Macaca fascicularis: one gene and its partners. The protein of the gene in region 1 purifies or fractionates together with the protein of each later gene. This does not show direct contact. Links are inferred from orthologs where the notes say so. Each region holds a gene or a part of one and is shown in the gene's direction. Other genes may lie near its edges.

Region 1 (3,561 bases):
CTAGCCAGAAGTGGTGGCGTGTACCTGTAGCCTCTTGGGAGGCTGAGGTGGCTGGATCACTCGAGTTTCGGCAGAGCCCTCATCTCACCACTGCACTCAGCCTGGGTGACAGTGTGAGACCCTGTCTCAAAAAAATAAATAAATAAGGAAACTGAGACTCAGATCAAATGCCTCTGACTTACCCTAGGACAAGCACTCATAGGTGAGCTGAGCGTGCTGTTAGGTAGCAGCCGGGGTGCTCCAGCCCCAAAGCCAGCCCTTTGCATGTTCTCTGCCTTCTGGGCACAGTGGCTGCTGGGCGTAGCGTAAGCAGGCGCGTGCTGTCAGGCTGGGCTTCGATGTCTTTTGTTTTTTTTTTTAACTCAGCATTTCTTGGAAGTGTTTCAGCATCAGATGTGAACCCATGTCCTCATTTTTAAGCAACTGTCCCTTACCAGGGTCTCAAACGATGGGCGTTTGTCTCTAGTCCTCCCTGTCAGTGGTGTTGACATCAAATGCTCCTGAGGTTACGACCCTCGCGGGTCAAGCTGAGCTCATCAGAAGGCCTTTCCCTGGTGGTCCCGGGCATGCACGTGTTGGGGTGATCTTTTCAGTGGGTTTTCTTTCTTGGGCCGCTGAAGGTCTGTAATCGCCCTGAAGAACAGCCCGGAGCAGGATGGTGCTACTCTAGTCTCAGGCAAAACGGGGGCTCCTGGGGTCTGTTTGTGACGTGGGTGGTGGGCACACGGGTGGGCCTTTTCTATGGACGTGGAATGCACATTCACCTTGAGTCGCCTCCACTGGGCTCAGAATCCAGCACTCTCTGAGCCTGGGTCCCACCTGGGACAGGGGGCCCCCAGGGGCTGTGTGTGGAGCTGGTGTTGGCACCTGCGCCCAGCGGGCCCATGACCACCCTGGGTTGGAATTGGGACTCAGCTTCCTACTAGCCAAGCGAGCCTCAGTGTCTTTGTAAAATGGCCATACCTCCCTCCTGGGTTTGTCAGGAGGTTAGAGGGGAAGACAAAAGGAATATGAAAGGCGAGAGTCTGAAAGGCAAGATGCTGAGCAGATGGTCAGTGCCGGGACAGTCAGCTGTTCTTGTTTCCATGTTTCGGCAGCAGAGACTCACACAGGGACGGGCGTTAGGGGAAGGGTCTGTATGGAGCAAGGTCTGGGATGAAAGCGGACCTCTGCGTGTTCTTGACACAATGCTTGGTTGGGTTAGGAACATTCACCACCACGTGGCTTTCCTCTGCGTGTTCAACCTGCAGTCAGGTGCTCAGCTGGGCTGGGCGGCTGAACACGGCCCAGGGAACTGCCCCTCGCAGCTGGCAGCCACATGGCAGCCGGGCGAACTGGGTTCAGCATTCCCTTCTAGCGATCCTGATTTGTGTTTATCCCAGCAGTAGCCTCAGGCATCTCTGCAGCATTTTCGTCGGTATCTTTCCTCCCTACGTTTCCATTGGCTTGTGGGTTTTCCTTGTGAGCGCAGTTGGCATAGGGTTCTTAAATACGTGGCACGACGGAGGCCACATCAATGAGGGGGACATCATTATGGGAGGGTGGGCTGGGTGGCTGGGTGACTGCAGGATTGTGGCACCAGCAAAGTAACTGCACCTTTTTTTTTTTGTAGGATCTGATGTTACTGCTTAGAGACGGGATCCCGCTGTGTTGCCCAGGCTGGTCTCAAACTCTTGAGCTGAAGCGATCTTCCCATCTTGGCCTCCTGAGTAGCTGGGATTCCGGGCACACACCACCAGATCTGATTTTAAACAGAAATCCAGTTGGCATTGTAGAGTCGTTTGCATTAAAGCCTTCCTATCGTCAACCACAGCCATGACCTGATGACTTTCAAGCATGTGTCCAGAGAGGGGTTCACAGAGAGGAGTCTCCCTCATGAGAGGGGAAGACTGTAGGTCAGAGATAGGCAAACTTGATCTCTGAGGGGCCAGACGGGCTATGTGGAGATGATTCATACCTCTCTTGTGCAGGCCACAGGCAGTGCGTACACAAGTGGACGTGACTGTGGGCCAGTGAAACTTTATTTACGATGGGATGGCTGGGCATGGTGGCTCACTCCTGTCACCCCAGCACTTTGGGAGGTTGAGGTGAAAGGGATCGCTTGAGGCCAGGAGTTCAAGACCAGCTTGGACAACATAGCAAGACCCCATCTCTACAAAAATTTTTAAAATTGGCCGGGCATGGTGGCTCACACCTATAATCCTAGCACTTTGGGAGGCCAAGGCGGGCGAATCTCTGGAGGTCAGGAGTTTGAGACCAGCCTGACCAACATGGTGAAACCCCATCTCTACTAAAAATACAAAATTTACAGGTGGTGCGTGCCTGTAATCCCAGATACTCGGAAGGCTGACAGGAGAATAGCTTGAACCCAGGAGGTGGAGGTTTCAGTGAGCCGAGATTGTGCCATTGCACCCCTGCCTGGGCGACGAGTGAAACTCTGTCTCAAAAAAAAAACAAAAGAAATTAGCTGGGCGTAGTGGCACATGCCTGTGGTCCCAGCTATTGAGGAGGCTGAGGTGGGAGGATCTCTTGAGCCCAGGAGTTTGAGGTTGCAGTGAGCTGAGATCATGCCACTGCCCTTGAGCCTGGGCAACAGAGTGAGACACTGTCTCTAAAAAAAAAAAAAAAAAAACCAAACAAAACAAAACACAGGCAGTGGGCAGACTGGCTGTGGCTTGCCGCTCCCTGGCCTCTTCCAGTCAGGGAACGTCATGGGCTCCAGCTTCTGCCAGTTCAAGTCATCTTTTCTGGTGTATTTCAAAGCCTCCCTGTGAGTATGGGGTCAATAGGCACAGGAAGGGACCTGGTGTGTGACAGAGGGGTGGGAGGCCCATTCATTCACACACCTCAGGACTTGCAGTGACTTCCTGTGTATTGGATTCTTCCGCCTCTCATTTGCGTCCATGATGTTGAATTCTGACTCTGTTTAAGCTGTAATGTCCACATGAAGCCATTCTAAAATCTCCAGATCCCTCTCAGAAGGCCCAAGGGATGACCAGTTACCATTTTTCTTTATCTTTGAAGGAAATTTCCAGAGCTGTTTGCACAGTTCAAGTCCTTCCTAGGGGTAAAAGAGCTGTCCTTCGCGCCACCCATGAGCGACAGATCCGGGGACGGGATAAGCCGGGAAATCGACTATGCATCTTGTAAGCGCATAGGATCCAGCTACCGGGCACTCCCCAAAACCTACCAGCAGCCCAAGTGCAGCGGGAGGACGGCCATCTGCAAGGAGGTAGCGCTCCCTGGGGCTTACATGTTCGCTGACATGGTGCATCCCCCCCCCCTCCCCAGCAAACACCCAATACCCCCGTTTTGAATGAAATGCTGTGTGCTCAGCCCTCCTGAATGTTGGGTTATGGGTGGTGCTGGGATGTGGCCCAGCAAAACCACCTGAGCAGAGACAACAGTGTTGTACCCTGCTGGTAGTTTTGGCAAAACACAGAGTGTCAGGGATAATGTGGAGTTCACTTATTCATCTGTTATTTGAGTTAGGTTTATTGCTGCCATGATTCTGCTCCGTCCCGGGCTCACTGACCTCAGTGTGTTTCTGTTTAGCTTGAC
Region 2 (4,317 bases), on another chromosome or scaffold:
TTTGAGGGAAAAAGGCAATTAAATATGCAATTTCAAAAAGTTTGACAAGGAAGTACAAGTTGCTGCTGACCACACCAATTTTTGGGATTAGGAAAGGCTATCTAGAAGTGATATTTAATCCTTCATATTTATTTAAATAAATATTATTTATTATTATTTAAATAAATATTATTTAAATAAATATGAAGGAGGAGTTCACAGTTCACAGATTTGCTCAGCCTAATCCTTCATATTTATTTAAATGAAGGATGAGTAGAAATTTAGGAAGGGGATATAATGATACAAATGATTTTGGGTCAGCAGAGTACAAAAATGTTCTGGACAGAGGAAATATGTGTGATGGCTCAGAGGTGAGAAAAATCATGGTGTACTAAAGTCACAACAAAGACTTCTGTAGATCATATGGAGAAGCAGTAGAGATGAAGCTGGAGAGTAAAGCAGCAAATCAGCAATTAAAAAAGATGTTTGGAGTTGTTGAGTTTGGAGATGAAAAGTGACAAGATGAATTCTGGATTTTAGACAAAGCAATCCAACTTGAGAATGGAGAGGAATTTCAGAGGAGAAAAGAAATGAGCTGTTGTCAGTAAGAGTATTTAAATTAGGATACTGGTAACAAGGATGGAGAGACACACGATTATACATGGGAAGTGAGAGCAGAAAGCATGAGGACTATTTCTTGATTGTTTTTTTTTTTGCCTCAGGCAACTGAATAGATGAAGGTATTAATGAAACCAGGAACACTGAAGAAATAGTGACCAATTAAAGTACTTTGAGTTATCAGAGTGAGATGTCCTGTAGGTAGCTAGACAGTACTGGCTGGTAATTCAGAAGAGCTGCTGTGTTCTGTGTAAAAGGAAAAGCAATTCCTGGATGGTGGCTAAAGCCAGCTGGCAGGATTTAGGGGATGGGTTAGACCTGCACTTGTTTTCCTGGAGAAGAGGCGGCTATAAAGTGGCAGAGTGAGATTACTGTAAAATACCTGCATTCAAAGGGCTAAAAAAAAGAGAAATGCTGGAACGGCTACTTGCTAGAAACGCAGCAGGGTAGGTTAAAACAAATCACGAAGCACGGGCGGCGAGGCTGGGGGGCTAACGCTAAGCCCTGCGTGATTTCGACTACACCGACACACAAAAGGGAAAGGGACCCTCCTCACCGGAAGCACAACCTCTGCCCTCTGGGGCATTACACATTCCTCCGCGCCGGAAGAACACGTCGCGCCTCGCCTCGCCCCGTCGGCCTGGCTCTGTCCCCACCTCTAGTGAAGGAGAGATTGCGCCTCTCCCCGACCCCCTACCCAGGGCGAGCCGCGTGGAGTCGTTGGACTGGGCAGAACTTTGGCAGGCAAGGAGAGAAACAGCCACACCGGGCTGCCGGGCAAGAGAAGAAGGAGGAAGGGCCAGATACCCGGGCGTCGCGCCGCTGCGGAAGGATTCCGTTTCCTGCGGGGGCGGAGGGATTTGACAGCACAGTAACTTCCGGAGAAGTCCTGACCCTCAGAGGAAAAGCCTTGCAAGAAACAATAACAAACGGGAGGAGGAAGCGGTTCTGGGGTGTCTGTGTTGAGCGGTTCTTTTCCGCGAAGATGCGCTTCGGCCCCAGTCAGGGGACGTGAACGGGCTCAGTGGGCTTCAGCCAGCTTTTCTCCACCGGTTCCCCACGGGGACCCCCCCCCCGGCCGCTGCAATGGCGGGCGTGGGGCCGGGGGGCTACGCGGCCGAGTTCGTGCCGCCCCCGGAGTGCCCCGTCTTTGAGCCGAGCTGGGAGGAGTTCACAGATCCGCTCAGCTTTATCGGCCGCATCCGGCCTTTGGCGGAGAAAACCGGCATCTGCAAAATTCGGCCGCCCAAGGTACCTCAGTCTGTGGAGAGAGAGGGGGAGAAGGAAGAAGGGGGGAGTCCGTGCACTGGGTTTAGCCTTACTTTTCCGATCCTTCTCTCCTTTCGTATGTACTCTCCTTTATGTTGAGACAACCGGAGCCTGTTTCTGGATGTTTCTGCTTCGGTTTCTTTTGTGGTCTTATGTAGACACGTCTGAATGCGAGAAAGTGGTGTCTCTGGGGTCTTCCGCCTAGAACTTGGGAACTGATACTTTTCTCTCCGCTGTGGGCCTAAAGCCCTTCGTTAGCCAATATGAGGTTTAATTAAAGTACATTCTTCCCTCACGTATCCTCATTATGGTTTGATAGTCGGCTATCTCTATTCAAGACCTGATTGGATCAAATATTTGCAGGCCTCCTCTCAGGGCTAGGGTTTCTGAAAAGGTAATCTGAGCTCTAGTTCCACCAGATGGTATTATAGACATAGAACTCCAGACTAATCATTGCTGCAGTGAGAAAGTCTTACCGGGGAAAGAGGAGCAGCAATAATTCTAAAATTGAGAGGTTTAGGAAGAATTCATCTATAATGGAGGCGGGAGGAAATGTTGAAATCTCTTGACATAGGGAACTCAAGATCAACGATTTTAGAATCACAGTTATTGCAGATAACTAGGTTTGCCTATAAGGTTAATTATAATCTCAACATTGAGGTAAGGAAAGTAGGTACTATCCCTTGTGTGGAGGGGATTAATGCCCCAAGAGATTGAGTGAGATGCTCAAGGTCAAAAGGTGTTTTTCTTTACTCATTAGATCAGTGCTTTTTAAATGCTGTTGCGGGACCACTTGCACCTGGGTCAACTGGATGCTTATTTAAATGCAGATCTCTAGGCTTCTTGTGGAAGTTCTGGAATCTGCTTTTCTAGCAACTAGTCTCAGATGATTCTTCATGTAAGTTGAGGTTTTCGAACCATTGCTTTAGTCATTGCTTCTTAAAGGCATTTTGCTTTATGTTTTGTCTAGTATTGGTAATGATAAAATATTAAGCACTGTTAACCAGTGTTGCATTTTAAAAAGCATCTGCCGTCACCACTGACTACCACAGTGATAGGCACCGCAGCGAATTAAAAACTTAAATGACAGCGAGGAGGAGCTAATTTAACACCTATAGATTGTTTGCTTTAATCTTTGAAGCCCTGATAGGTAAATGAAGTCCACCTTTTACAGATAAGATTAATCTGGATAAGTTAAAACACCAGATGGGTTATCTTGGGCAAGTGGCAAAGTATATTTTGAACCTAGATCGGTTTTTCTGATTCTGAAACAGACATAATGCTCCATGTAGAATGAGTTTAAGGTTATAGACTATTCGTTGCAAGCAGAGGATTAACAAATAATTGCTGTGATGATATGCATTGCCATCCTCCAAAAACTTCCATTTAACCCTTTTTTTCTATCATAATTACCTAATATTAACAAATCTTAAGCATTGAAGGTTTTCCTAAGTCGTATTTTCATCTACTCTTGAATTTATTAATTAGAAATTCTATTCACGGTTACTTCGATTAAAAAAAAAGTTTTTTTTAACTTAAAAAATGTTGAAATAATGCTTTCTCTTTTTTTTTTTTTTTTTTTTTTTGAGACGGAGTCTCGCTCTGTCGCCCAGGCTGGAGTGCAGTGGCGCGATCTCGGCTCACTGCAAGCTCCGCCTCCCGGGTTCACGCCATTCTCCTGCCTCAGCCTCCCGAGTAGCTGGGACTACAGGCGCCCACAACCGCGCCCGGCTAATTTTTTGTATTTTTAGTAGAGACGGGGTTTCACCGTGGTCTCGATCTCCTGACCTTGTGATCCGCCCGCCTCGGCCTCCCAAAGTGCTGGGATTACAGGCGTGAGCCACCGCGCCCGGCCAATGCTTTCTCTTTTTATGTCACATTATTGAAAATAAATCTTGTTTACAATCAGAATTTAATTTTAGTATTGGCAAATTTCTTTAGTTTCCAGGCTGGAGTGCAGTGGCACGATCTTGGCTCACTTCTGCCTCCACCTCCTGGGTTTTTTTTTTTTTTTTGACTACTCACGTTTTAAAATAGGTTTACTGTTATTCTGTTATTTAGGCCAAATCAAACTGTGTTATTTAGACCCCACTTGAAATATGCTATCTGATTTTAGTTATATCACAGTCTGGAAACTGTCCTTGTTCTGTGTGTGTGCTTACTTTTTTTGTTGTTGAATATTTGGGTTCCCAGAAGCTGGGCTTTGAACAAAACTTTTGTGTAACATAAAGTGCTCTGTCGCGTTACACATACAGTACAAAAGAAAAAGTTTAAAAAGTTTATTTTTAATCTTTAATTTTACCCTTTTTGGTTTTTTAAATTTTTTGGTGTTTTTTTTGATCTTGGTAAACCTGAATGTTTACTAGACACCGTTTTGTGGTACATGACCTCATTGAATTCCACTTGAGTAACTTGGGAAAGCATAATTGTGGGAGATAAACAGTGGGACTG
Region 3 (4,016 bases), on another chromosome or scaffold:
GTCACGACACTGGTCCGGCCCGCGGATCCCTTGGCCGCCGCAGTTGGCCTCCATTACCCTTTCCCGCGCCGCGCCTCCCCGCGGGGAAAATGAAACCTAGTGCCCTCAGGTTGAGACACAGGGTGGGATCCACTGTCTTCTCACTTAGCCAAGAGAAAAGACAGAACCGACTTCAGACAGCAAAGGGGTGTGTTGCCCTGGCCGGGTCGCCTGCGGCCCCGCCCCGGCGCTCTCCACCTCCTTCGCGGCCCGCCCTCTTGGCGCCCGCGACTACATTTCCCAGAGGACGCCGCGGCTCCGAGGGGCGGGCCCGTCCGCTCTCCCGCTCACGACCACCGGCGACTGGCTGACTCGGCAGGGGGCGGGGCCTGCGCCAGCCAATAGACGGGAGGCTCGTTACGGCGGCGGAAGCAGCGGCGCTGGAGTGAGGGGTGGGGGGCAGAGTGCTAGCTCCCCGGCGGTGGCTGCGGGTCGGGAACCTGGGGACGTCGGCCCCGCAGACAGAGAGCGCGCGGGAGCGAGCTCAAGGCGGCGCGGCGGCCACTCGGCGCAGCACCCAGGTAATGGCGGGACGGGAGCCCGGGAGGGAAGGGGAGGAGACGAGGGGGCGGGGCGGCCGAGCCGGGCTGCAGCGTCCGTCCCGTTGCGCGTCCCCGGGGAAGGGCAGAGGATCCTCGTCTCCTGCAGCTCGGACCGCGGCTCTTTGGCGAGCTGGGCACGGCAGTTGGGCCGGCGACAGGGGCTGGGTGTCCTGTGGCGAGGAAGGGAGAGGCACCGGGAGGGGTGGGCTGACCCGGGCGTGGGGGCGTGGCGGACGTGGGCCTTGGCGGGGAAGCAGAGCGGTCGGGGGAGCGCGGGCGGGCGGGCGGCCCAGGGAGTTTGGCTCCTGGAGCAGTTTAAAGTGACTCTCCACATCCGGGCCCTGCGCCCGCCGCTTTCAGACCCTGGCCAAGGCGGGGCCTCCCCGCTCCCCGCCCCCCTCGCCGGGGGCGCCTGTCTTCCTCTGCCATTGGTTCAGCCTCGAGGGGTTTGGGCTGCCCCGGCCAGGCTCGCGCCTGATTGGCTGGCGGTCGGCGGGAGGGTGGGGCGGGTCCTGACCGTGTAGGTCGCTGTGGATTGGTCCTGGGCCTCCACTGACGCGCCGGGCGTGGGGCCAATGGGCGGGCGGGGGAGGCAGGGGCAGGTTCGGGGGAAGAGGACTGCGAGCACAGCGGCGGCCGGGTGTTGGGGGTGAGTGGGGCCAGCGGGGCTGGACAGCGGCGGGCCCCGGGCGCCGCCGCCGCGATCCCTCCCCGCGCCCCCCGAGCGCATCGCCGCCGCCGAGATGGGCCCTCCGCGGCACCCCCAGGCCGGCGAGCTAGAAGCGGGCGGTGCGGGCGGCGGGCGGCGGCTACAGGTAAAGAGGCACAGTGCTCGCCTTGTGGTCGGGTCCCCAGAACGCCCGTCCGCACCCCTACCCCGGAGACGGGGATCTCGCACTCCGAGGTGTCTGGAAATCGGCGTCCTCCCATCTCAGCGGGGGCTTCGCGGTGGGGTGGGGTTGCGGGCGAATCAGGGGAGATCGCTTGGCTCCTGGGGGAAAAGTGGGGGACGATTTTAGGGAAGATGGAGAAGGTGTAGGGTCCTCTTGCTCTGTGGGGGTCTATGAAAGGGAAAGAAAAGGAAATCCGTAAATGGAAGCCTTTGCAGAAAAGCGTTGGAGAATTCCTTTTGCATCAGGTCTGAATGTAAAACATCCGATCCTTTCTTAGGGCTGGGTATCTTCCTCCGAATGTTCCTATGACATGCTAATCACAGTTCTGTTCACCTTGGTGTGAGGTTTGAGTGTTTCGAAGAGACATGCCATTTTCCATAAAACTTTACACAGAGAAATACACATGCATTGTGGTAATACCTGTCATGTGACTCTTGTACAGGATTCAATGGTGATTTTTTTAGCATGGCAATCCACAAGTATTTATGGAGGGTTATAGTACACGCCAGCTCCGTATAAACGATATTGGTAGAAAACTTAGGTAGTTTAGATAATGTCTGCATTTATATTGATCCTACGTTATTGTTTTTAAATAGATGATGCAACATTTGCTTTTCCGAGGGACTATCTCATAGGTACTAAAGATGCTTTAATTTCTCAATATTGATTCAGATCTCAGAATCTAGTAATAACCATATAACTGTATGTACTGCAGGTGGAAATGAGTTCTCAACAGTTTCCTCGATTAGGAGCCCCTTCTACTGGGCTGAGCCAGGCCCCTTCTCAGATTGCAAACAGTGGTACTGCTGGATTGATAAACCCAGCTGCTACAGGTGAGATATGTAATATTCTAATATATTTCTTCCAACTTTACGAATATTGCCAGTTTTCTAACTTAAAAATTAGCAGATTCCTTCTAGGATTTTAGTAAATTCTTATTTCTTGAATTTGAAGAAAGGGTATATTACTATTCTAATTTAAACAAGGCTTTTTTTCTTCCTGTTTTAACCACGTCGTTCACATAGAGTACACATGCAACTTACAGCGAAGCATGCCTGTAAGAACTATTTTTGAAATGCATTAATATATTCATGTTTAATTAATGTCCATGAGTATAGCATTAGTGCTGTGAGGGAGCCCAGAGTTGTTTAAGGAACAGATCTTGCCTTTTAGGAGTTTATTATCAAGGAAAATAAGTGGAAAACAAAGGATATGCAGTTTCCCTATGGTGTCTGTGGGGGATTGGTTCCAGGACCCACCTCAGATACCAAAATCCATGTTGCTCCACTTTGTGATGTAAAATGGTATAGTGTTTACATATTACCTGTATCTATCCTCCAGTATACTTTAAATCAGCTGTAGATTACTTGTAATGCCTACTACAAAGTAAATAGTATGTAAATAGTTGTTATTCCGTATTGCTAAGAGAACAGTGAGAAGACAAAAAAGTCTGTATGTGCTTAGTACAGATGCAACCATATTTTATTTTTCCCCCTGAATATTTAACATCCAAAGTTGTTTGAATTCACATCAGGGAACCCATGGATACAGAGGGCTGATTGCATACACACAGATAAGACTTGGTTTTTCGTCTCATGCCCTTTGAGTGCTAGAAATCAGTGGTTCTCAGTGACAGGTGTTTGGGGAGGTGGTTTTTCCTGCAGGGGAATACTTGGCAATATCTAAAGACAGTTTGGTTGTCACAACTCAACAGTGCTATTGGCATCTGGTAGGTAGAGGCCAGGGATACTGCTTCACATCCTACAAGATAACGGGAAGCCCCCACAACAGAGAAGTATCCAGTCTAGTCAGCAGCGCTGAAGTTGAGGAATTCCTTCAAATACTCTTTTTCGCTACGTATTAAGTAAATATGTGACATTGCAAAGTGGAATAAACTATTTTCTTTTTTTTTTTTTTTTTTTTTTTGAGACGGAGTCTCGCTGTGTCTCCCAGGCTGGAGTGCAGTGGCGTGATCTCGGCTCACTGCAAGCTCCGCCTCCCGGGTTCACGCCATTCTCCCGCCTCAGCCTCCCAAATAGCTGAGCCTACAGGCGCCCGCCACCACGCCCGGCTAGTTTTTTGTATTTTTAGTAGAGACGGGGTTTCACCATGTTAGCCAGGATAGTCTCGATCTCCTGACCTCGTGATCCACCCGCCTCGGCCTCCCAAAGTGCTGGGATTACAGGCTTGAGCCACCGCGCCCGGCCATGAATAAACTATTTTCTATTCCTTTTTCTTCACCACTCGATTCTGGTGTTCCTTATGGTAAATGATACCACTGTCTACTCATTGCTTAAACCAGTAGCTGAGGCTTATTTTTTTGCAACAGCATCTCATGCTGTCATTCAAGCGGGAGTACAGTGGCCTAATCACAGCCCACTGCAGCCTCGATCTTTTGAGCTCCCCAGCTTATTTTATTTTATTTTACTTTATTTTGTTTTATTTTATTTTTTTGAGACAGAGTGTCACTCTTTGGCCCAGGTTAGAGTGCACTGGCTCTATCTCAGGTCCCTTCGGTCTCTGCCTCCTGGGTTTTAGCGAT
Region 4 (4,199 bases), on another chromosome or scaffold:
CCAGAGGGCTGCTCCAAAGTCCTCCTCGAAATTGGTGCCAACGGCAGCAGCTATAATGACAGCCAGTTCACACAGAAGTGCCTCTGTTGATCACCAATTAACAGTAAAATCTGATAATATCTCATTCCAAGGTTGTCATAAGCACTAAATGTGGTTTTGTGACATAATAGGCATTTGTTTCTCCCCATTGCTTCCCACCACAATATATTCATCAAGACTTTTCCAAGGATACTAAGTCTAGGAAACCCAGGATCATGAAGAGAGGACATGCTCTTCCAAATGAGGCTGAGGAGAGACTTGTCTGGCGAGGCCTGTACTGACTAGTGACATTAGAAGAGGCGATCTGACTTCTCATACTGCGCTTGTCCCAGGCCCGCTGTTTGTCAACTGCTGGGTCCTCAGAGCCAAAACTGTTTTCCAACAGTTTTGAATTGAATAACAGCCAGTTATTCAATTTTCTCCACATTCTCTAATCGGTATACTCTTCAGAGTCCAAGGGACTTGCAACGATATTACCCAATGGCTGAAGAATGTGCGCTTGACATCTTAGGCTGTAAAATGTCTCAATTTCAATTTCTAAAACATAAATGTCAGTGGATGGCATTTTCTGAATCCCTTGTCGATGTCCGTAAATGGCATGCTCTGAATTCAACTAAACAAAAGTATGGGTTGGGGGGAGATGTAGGGGCATGTCCAAATTATAATTTTTAAGAGTGTAAAGGGGTCCTGAGAAAGATTGCCAGATTTTTTTTTTTTTCTTGAGTCAGAGTCTCACTCTATCCCCCAGGCTGAAGTGCAATGGCATGATCTTGGCTCACTGCAGGCTCTACCTCCCGCACTCAAGAGATTCTTCTGCCGCAGCCTCCAGAGTAGCTGGGATTACCCCGGAGCCCGCCACTACTGAGCCTGGCTAACTTTTGTATTTTTAGTAGAGAAGGGGTTTCACCATGTTGGCCAGGCTGATTTCGAACTCCTGAGCTCAAGTAATCCGCCAGCCTTGGTCTCCCAAAGTGCTGGGATTGCAAGCGTGAGCCACCACGCCAGACCTGGATTGCCAGATTTAGCACATAAAAATACAGGACTCCCAGTTAAACTCCTCTCAGATAAACCATTATTGCATGAAATTCACTCACGCTAAAAACAATTGTTCGTCGTTTACCTGAAAGTCACATTTCATTGGTCCTGCATTTTACCCCGCAAATTCTAGGCCTGACACCAAAAAGTTTGAGAACCGCGCCCCTAGGCGACAGCAAGCGGAACTACCGCAAGCTCCCAGTAATTCCGGGTGCTGCACTTCCGGTCAGGCGGTCGGGCTGCGCGGCCCTGGGGCCAGCTCACCGCCGGAAGCCTCCGCGTCCCCGCCGGCCATATCCCGTTCCCGGTCCTGCTTCCCAGTGCCTCGGGCCTCCCGGGGCTGGTGCTGGGCGCCGAGCCGGCGGAACCGGCGGAACCCGCTTCCCGCCTCCACGCGGCAGCGCTAGCGGCCTAGTCCCTTCACGGGCAGCTCGGTGCTGTCGCCCTCACTGCTCTTCCTATCGCCGGGAGTGGTGGGCCGACCAGGGGGCGGCCGGGCTAGCGTCCGCCATTCCCGTGTCTCTGCGCCCGCGGGGGCCGCCCGAGCCGGCCACCATGCCGCTGGGCCTGAAGCCCACCTGCAGCGTATGCAAGACCACGTCGTCCTCCATGTGGAAGAAGGGCACGCAGGGGGAGATCCTCTGCCATCATTGCACTGGCCGGGGCGGCGCGGGCAGCGGGGGCGCAGGCTCGGGGGCGGCTGGAGGGACTGGGGGCAGCAGCGGCGGTGGCGGCGGCTTCGGCGCGGCGACCTTCGCCAGCACCTCCGCCACTCCTCCGCAGAGCAACGGGGGCGGGGGCGGCAAGCAGGTGAGCTCCTCCGGCCCCTCCCGCCGGCGGAGGCCGACCGGGCGCTAGGCGGCAGGGGCCGGGCGGGTTGGGAGCGGGCGGGCCCGGGCTTCCCGGCTCGCCGTGGTCCTGCCGGCTGGAACGCCCCTCCCCACCTCCTACTGAGATCTTTGGTTTGACCCATTCCAAAGCACCTGTTATAAGAAATTCAAAGCAATAAGAACCAAAATGTAAAGCCCTTAAGAAAATCTCAATATGCACACGTCTACACAGTCGTAAACAGGGTCATGCCACAAGTGCAGGTGCTGGACCTCATTGCTTGTTAAAGGTTTTGTCATATCAGGTTATGAAGTAAGATTATTATGTCATTATTGTAAATGGCAGCTTAAGTATTCAGTTGTAGGAGGCGCCATAACCTAATACGTTATCTGGCCTTAGGGAGTAAAGTTGTTAAGTGTTTTTCTCTATTGTAGACACAACAAATGAATAGTGTTTGTCTTGGCCCAGACTGACTCTTACTTCCGCCTCCTGACTTATTACAAGCAGCTCACACCTTTTGGAGGCTCTGGAGACGCCTATCCAGCGAGCTCCGAGATTCCGGTGCTGAACTTCCGGTTTTACTTAGCCCAGTTGCTGAAATTACCTCTGTTGAAAAGCAAAGGCGCACTCTTAATTGTTAAATACTCCTATAAAGTACATACTCTGGGATCCTTGTAAGATGATTGTATTGCAACCTGTATACACTTTTTACTTCTTTCTCTGTTCTTTAATTTGTTTGTGTAACAGAGTAAGCAGGAAATTCACAGGAGGTCTGCTCGGCTCAGAAACACTAAATACAAATCTGCTCCGGCTGCTGAGAAGAAAGTTTCCACCAAAGGAAAAGGGAGAAGACATATATTTAAATTGAAAAATGTAAGATATTTGTGGACAGTGCCTTTTACTGTAATGATGTTGTGTGTATCCTGCCACTGCCTTCATTTCCCGCCATTGAACTTGGACTCTGCCCTTGGTAGCCCTTCCTTAGTATTCTGGGGAGTGGTCCAGACTCCCCAAAAGGGAATGAGCTCTGTTGCAGGAGGCTCACTATTTTTAAAGGTAATAATACTCTTTCCTTTTTTTTTTTTTTTTTTTAGCTTTTATTTTTTTCCCCTGGAAAATATAAAATATGAGTTTAAAAGAAACATCAGCCTTGAGCCCATTTTTTGGGGTTCTCTATGGAAAGGAAGAGGAGAGATTATGGTTCTTGATATGGCCAGGTACACTAAGAAAACTTTTTTTTCATTCTTTAAAAATTAAGTAAATATTAACACTAGAACTCATCATTTGCATATTTATTTATTATTAAAGCCCCAGAAAATGTATCTTATTGACTTATGATGATGATGTATTTGATGAATATGAGTCAAAAATTCTGCTAAGCCTTCTCTCTTCTACTCTAAGAAAAGACATTGTTGAAAGACCTGTGCTGGAAATAATTGAAAGCATATTTTTATTGCAATTAAATTATCAGTTTTTATAAACAAGGGATAATGTTCAAACACAATGGACAGTGCATTATGGACTATTTTTTTAAGTCTCAGTATGGTATTCTTTTCTTTCAGAACAGGAATGTTTCACTTACCCGTAAAGACATTTTTGAAGTCGGGCATATTTATTTCTAAAACACAAAGGGACCCTGCAGTAGACTTATGCAGATGGCAGACTATTTTCTTTTTTTTTTTTTAATGTAATTTAATTTAATTAATTTTTTAAAATTTTACTTTAAATTCTGGGATACATGTGCAGAACGTGCAGGTTTGTTACATAGGTATACATGTGCCATGGTGATTTGCTGCACCTGTCAACCCATCATCTAGGTTTTAAGGCCCATGTGCATTAGATATTTGTCCTAATGCTCTCCCTCCCCTTGCCCCCCATCTCCGATGGGCCCCAGTGTGTGATGTTCCCTTCCCCAAAGTATTTTCTTTTTCAGAGTAGTTGCTTCTAATTTATTTAAGATTTTTATAATTTAGTTAAGCAAGGCATTTGTTGATTATGCAAAATATCTTATTGGTATTTGTATCACATATGCACATTTTTTTTCCTTTTAAGTATAGTATACCATGTTCTCAGCAATTAATTCATTATCGTTTGTCTGCAACCCTTTCTTCAATGTTACTAAGCAAGACACATCTGGGGAGGCCTACTTTCTATGTTGTGGCATAAAAGTATGTATTGAAGCTTTAGTAGGGATTTCAAAAATGGTTGGATGGTAGCAAATTACTAAGAACTGTCAAAGTTTCTAAAGCCTTAGTTCCAGCTTGCTAGAAAACCGACGTTGAGTATTATGGCTAAAT

The links.
Region 2: the proteins of SIN3B (region 1) and KDM5A purify together in Homo sapiens (affinity purification with mass spectrometry; 4 studies listed by BioGRID and IntAct, with this or other methods). This does not show direct contact. The link is inferred for Macaca fascicularis from reciprocal best matches to the Homo sapiens genes SIN3B and KDM5A.
Region 3: the proteins of SIN3B (region 1) and SAP130 purify together in Homo sapiens (affinity purification with mass spectrometry; 3 studies listed by BioGRID and IntAct, with this or other methods). This does not show direct contact. The link is inferred for Macaca fascicularis from reciprocal best matches to the Homo sapiens genes SIN3B and SAP130.
Region 4: the proteins of SIN3B (region 1) and GATAD1 purify together in Homo sapiens (affinity purification with mass spectrometry; 5 studies listed by BioGRID and IntAct, with this or other methods). This does not show direct contact. The link is inferred for Macaca fascicularis from reciprocal best matches to the Homo sapiens genes SIN3B and GATAD1.

What each region holds. Positions count from the first base shown.
Region 1 is NC_088393.1:17,188,485-17,192,045, forward strand, and holds part of SIN3B (paired amphipathic helix protein Sin3b), read left to right. Parts: intron 1-3,024; coding exon 3,025-3,232; intron 3,233-3,555; coding exon 3,556-3,561.
Region 2 is NC_088385.1:1,144,392-1,148,708, reverse strand, and holds the start of KDM5A (lysine-specific demethylase 5A), read left to right. Parts: upstream 1-1,495; 5' UTR 1,496-1,683; coding exon 1,684-1,848; intron 1,849-4,317. UniProt on the Homo sapiens protein: Histone demethylase that specifically demethylates 'Lys-4' of histone H3, thereby playing a central role in histone code. Does not demethylate histone H3 'Lys-9', H3 'Lys-27', H3 'Lys-36', H3 'Lys-79' or H4 'Lys-20'.
Region 3 is NC_088386.1:3,499,616-3,503,631, forward strand, and holds the start of SAP130 (histone deacetylase complex subunit SAP130), read left to right. Parts: upstream 1-1,181; 5' UTR 1,182-1,324; coding exon 1,325-1,396; intron 1,397-2,189; coding exon 2,190-2,307; intron 2,308-4,016. UniProt on the Homo sapiens protein: Acts as a transcriptional repressor. May function in the assembly and/or enzymatic activity of the mSin3A corepressor complex or in mediating interactions between the complex and other regulatory complexes.
Region 4 is NC_088377.1:128,909,937-128,914,135, reverse strand, and holds the start of GATAD1 (GATA zinc finger domain-containing protein 1), read left to right. Parts: upstream 1-1,352; 5' UTR 1,353-1,629; coding exon 1,630-1,884; intron 1,885-2,649; coding exon 2,650-2,775; intron 2,776-2,996; exon of another isoform or gene 2,997-4,199. UniProt on the Homo sapiens protein: Component of some chromatin complex recruited to chromatin sites methylated 'Lys-4' of histone H3 (H3K4me), with a preference for trimethylated form (H3K4me3).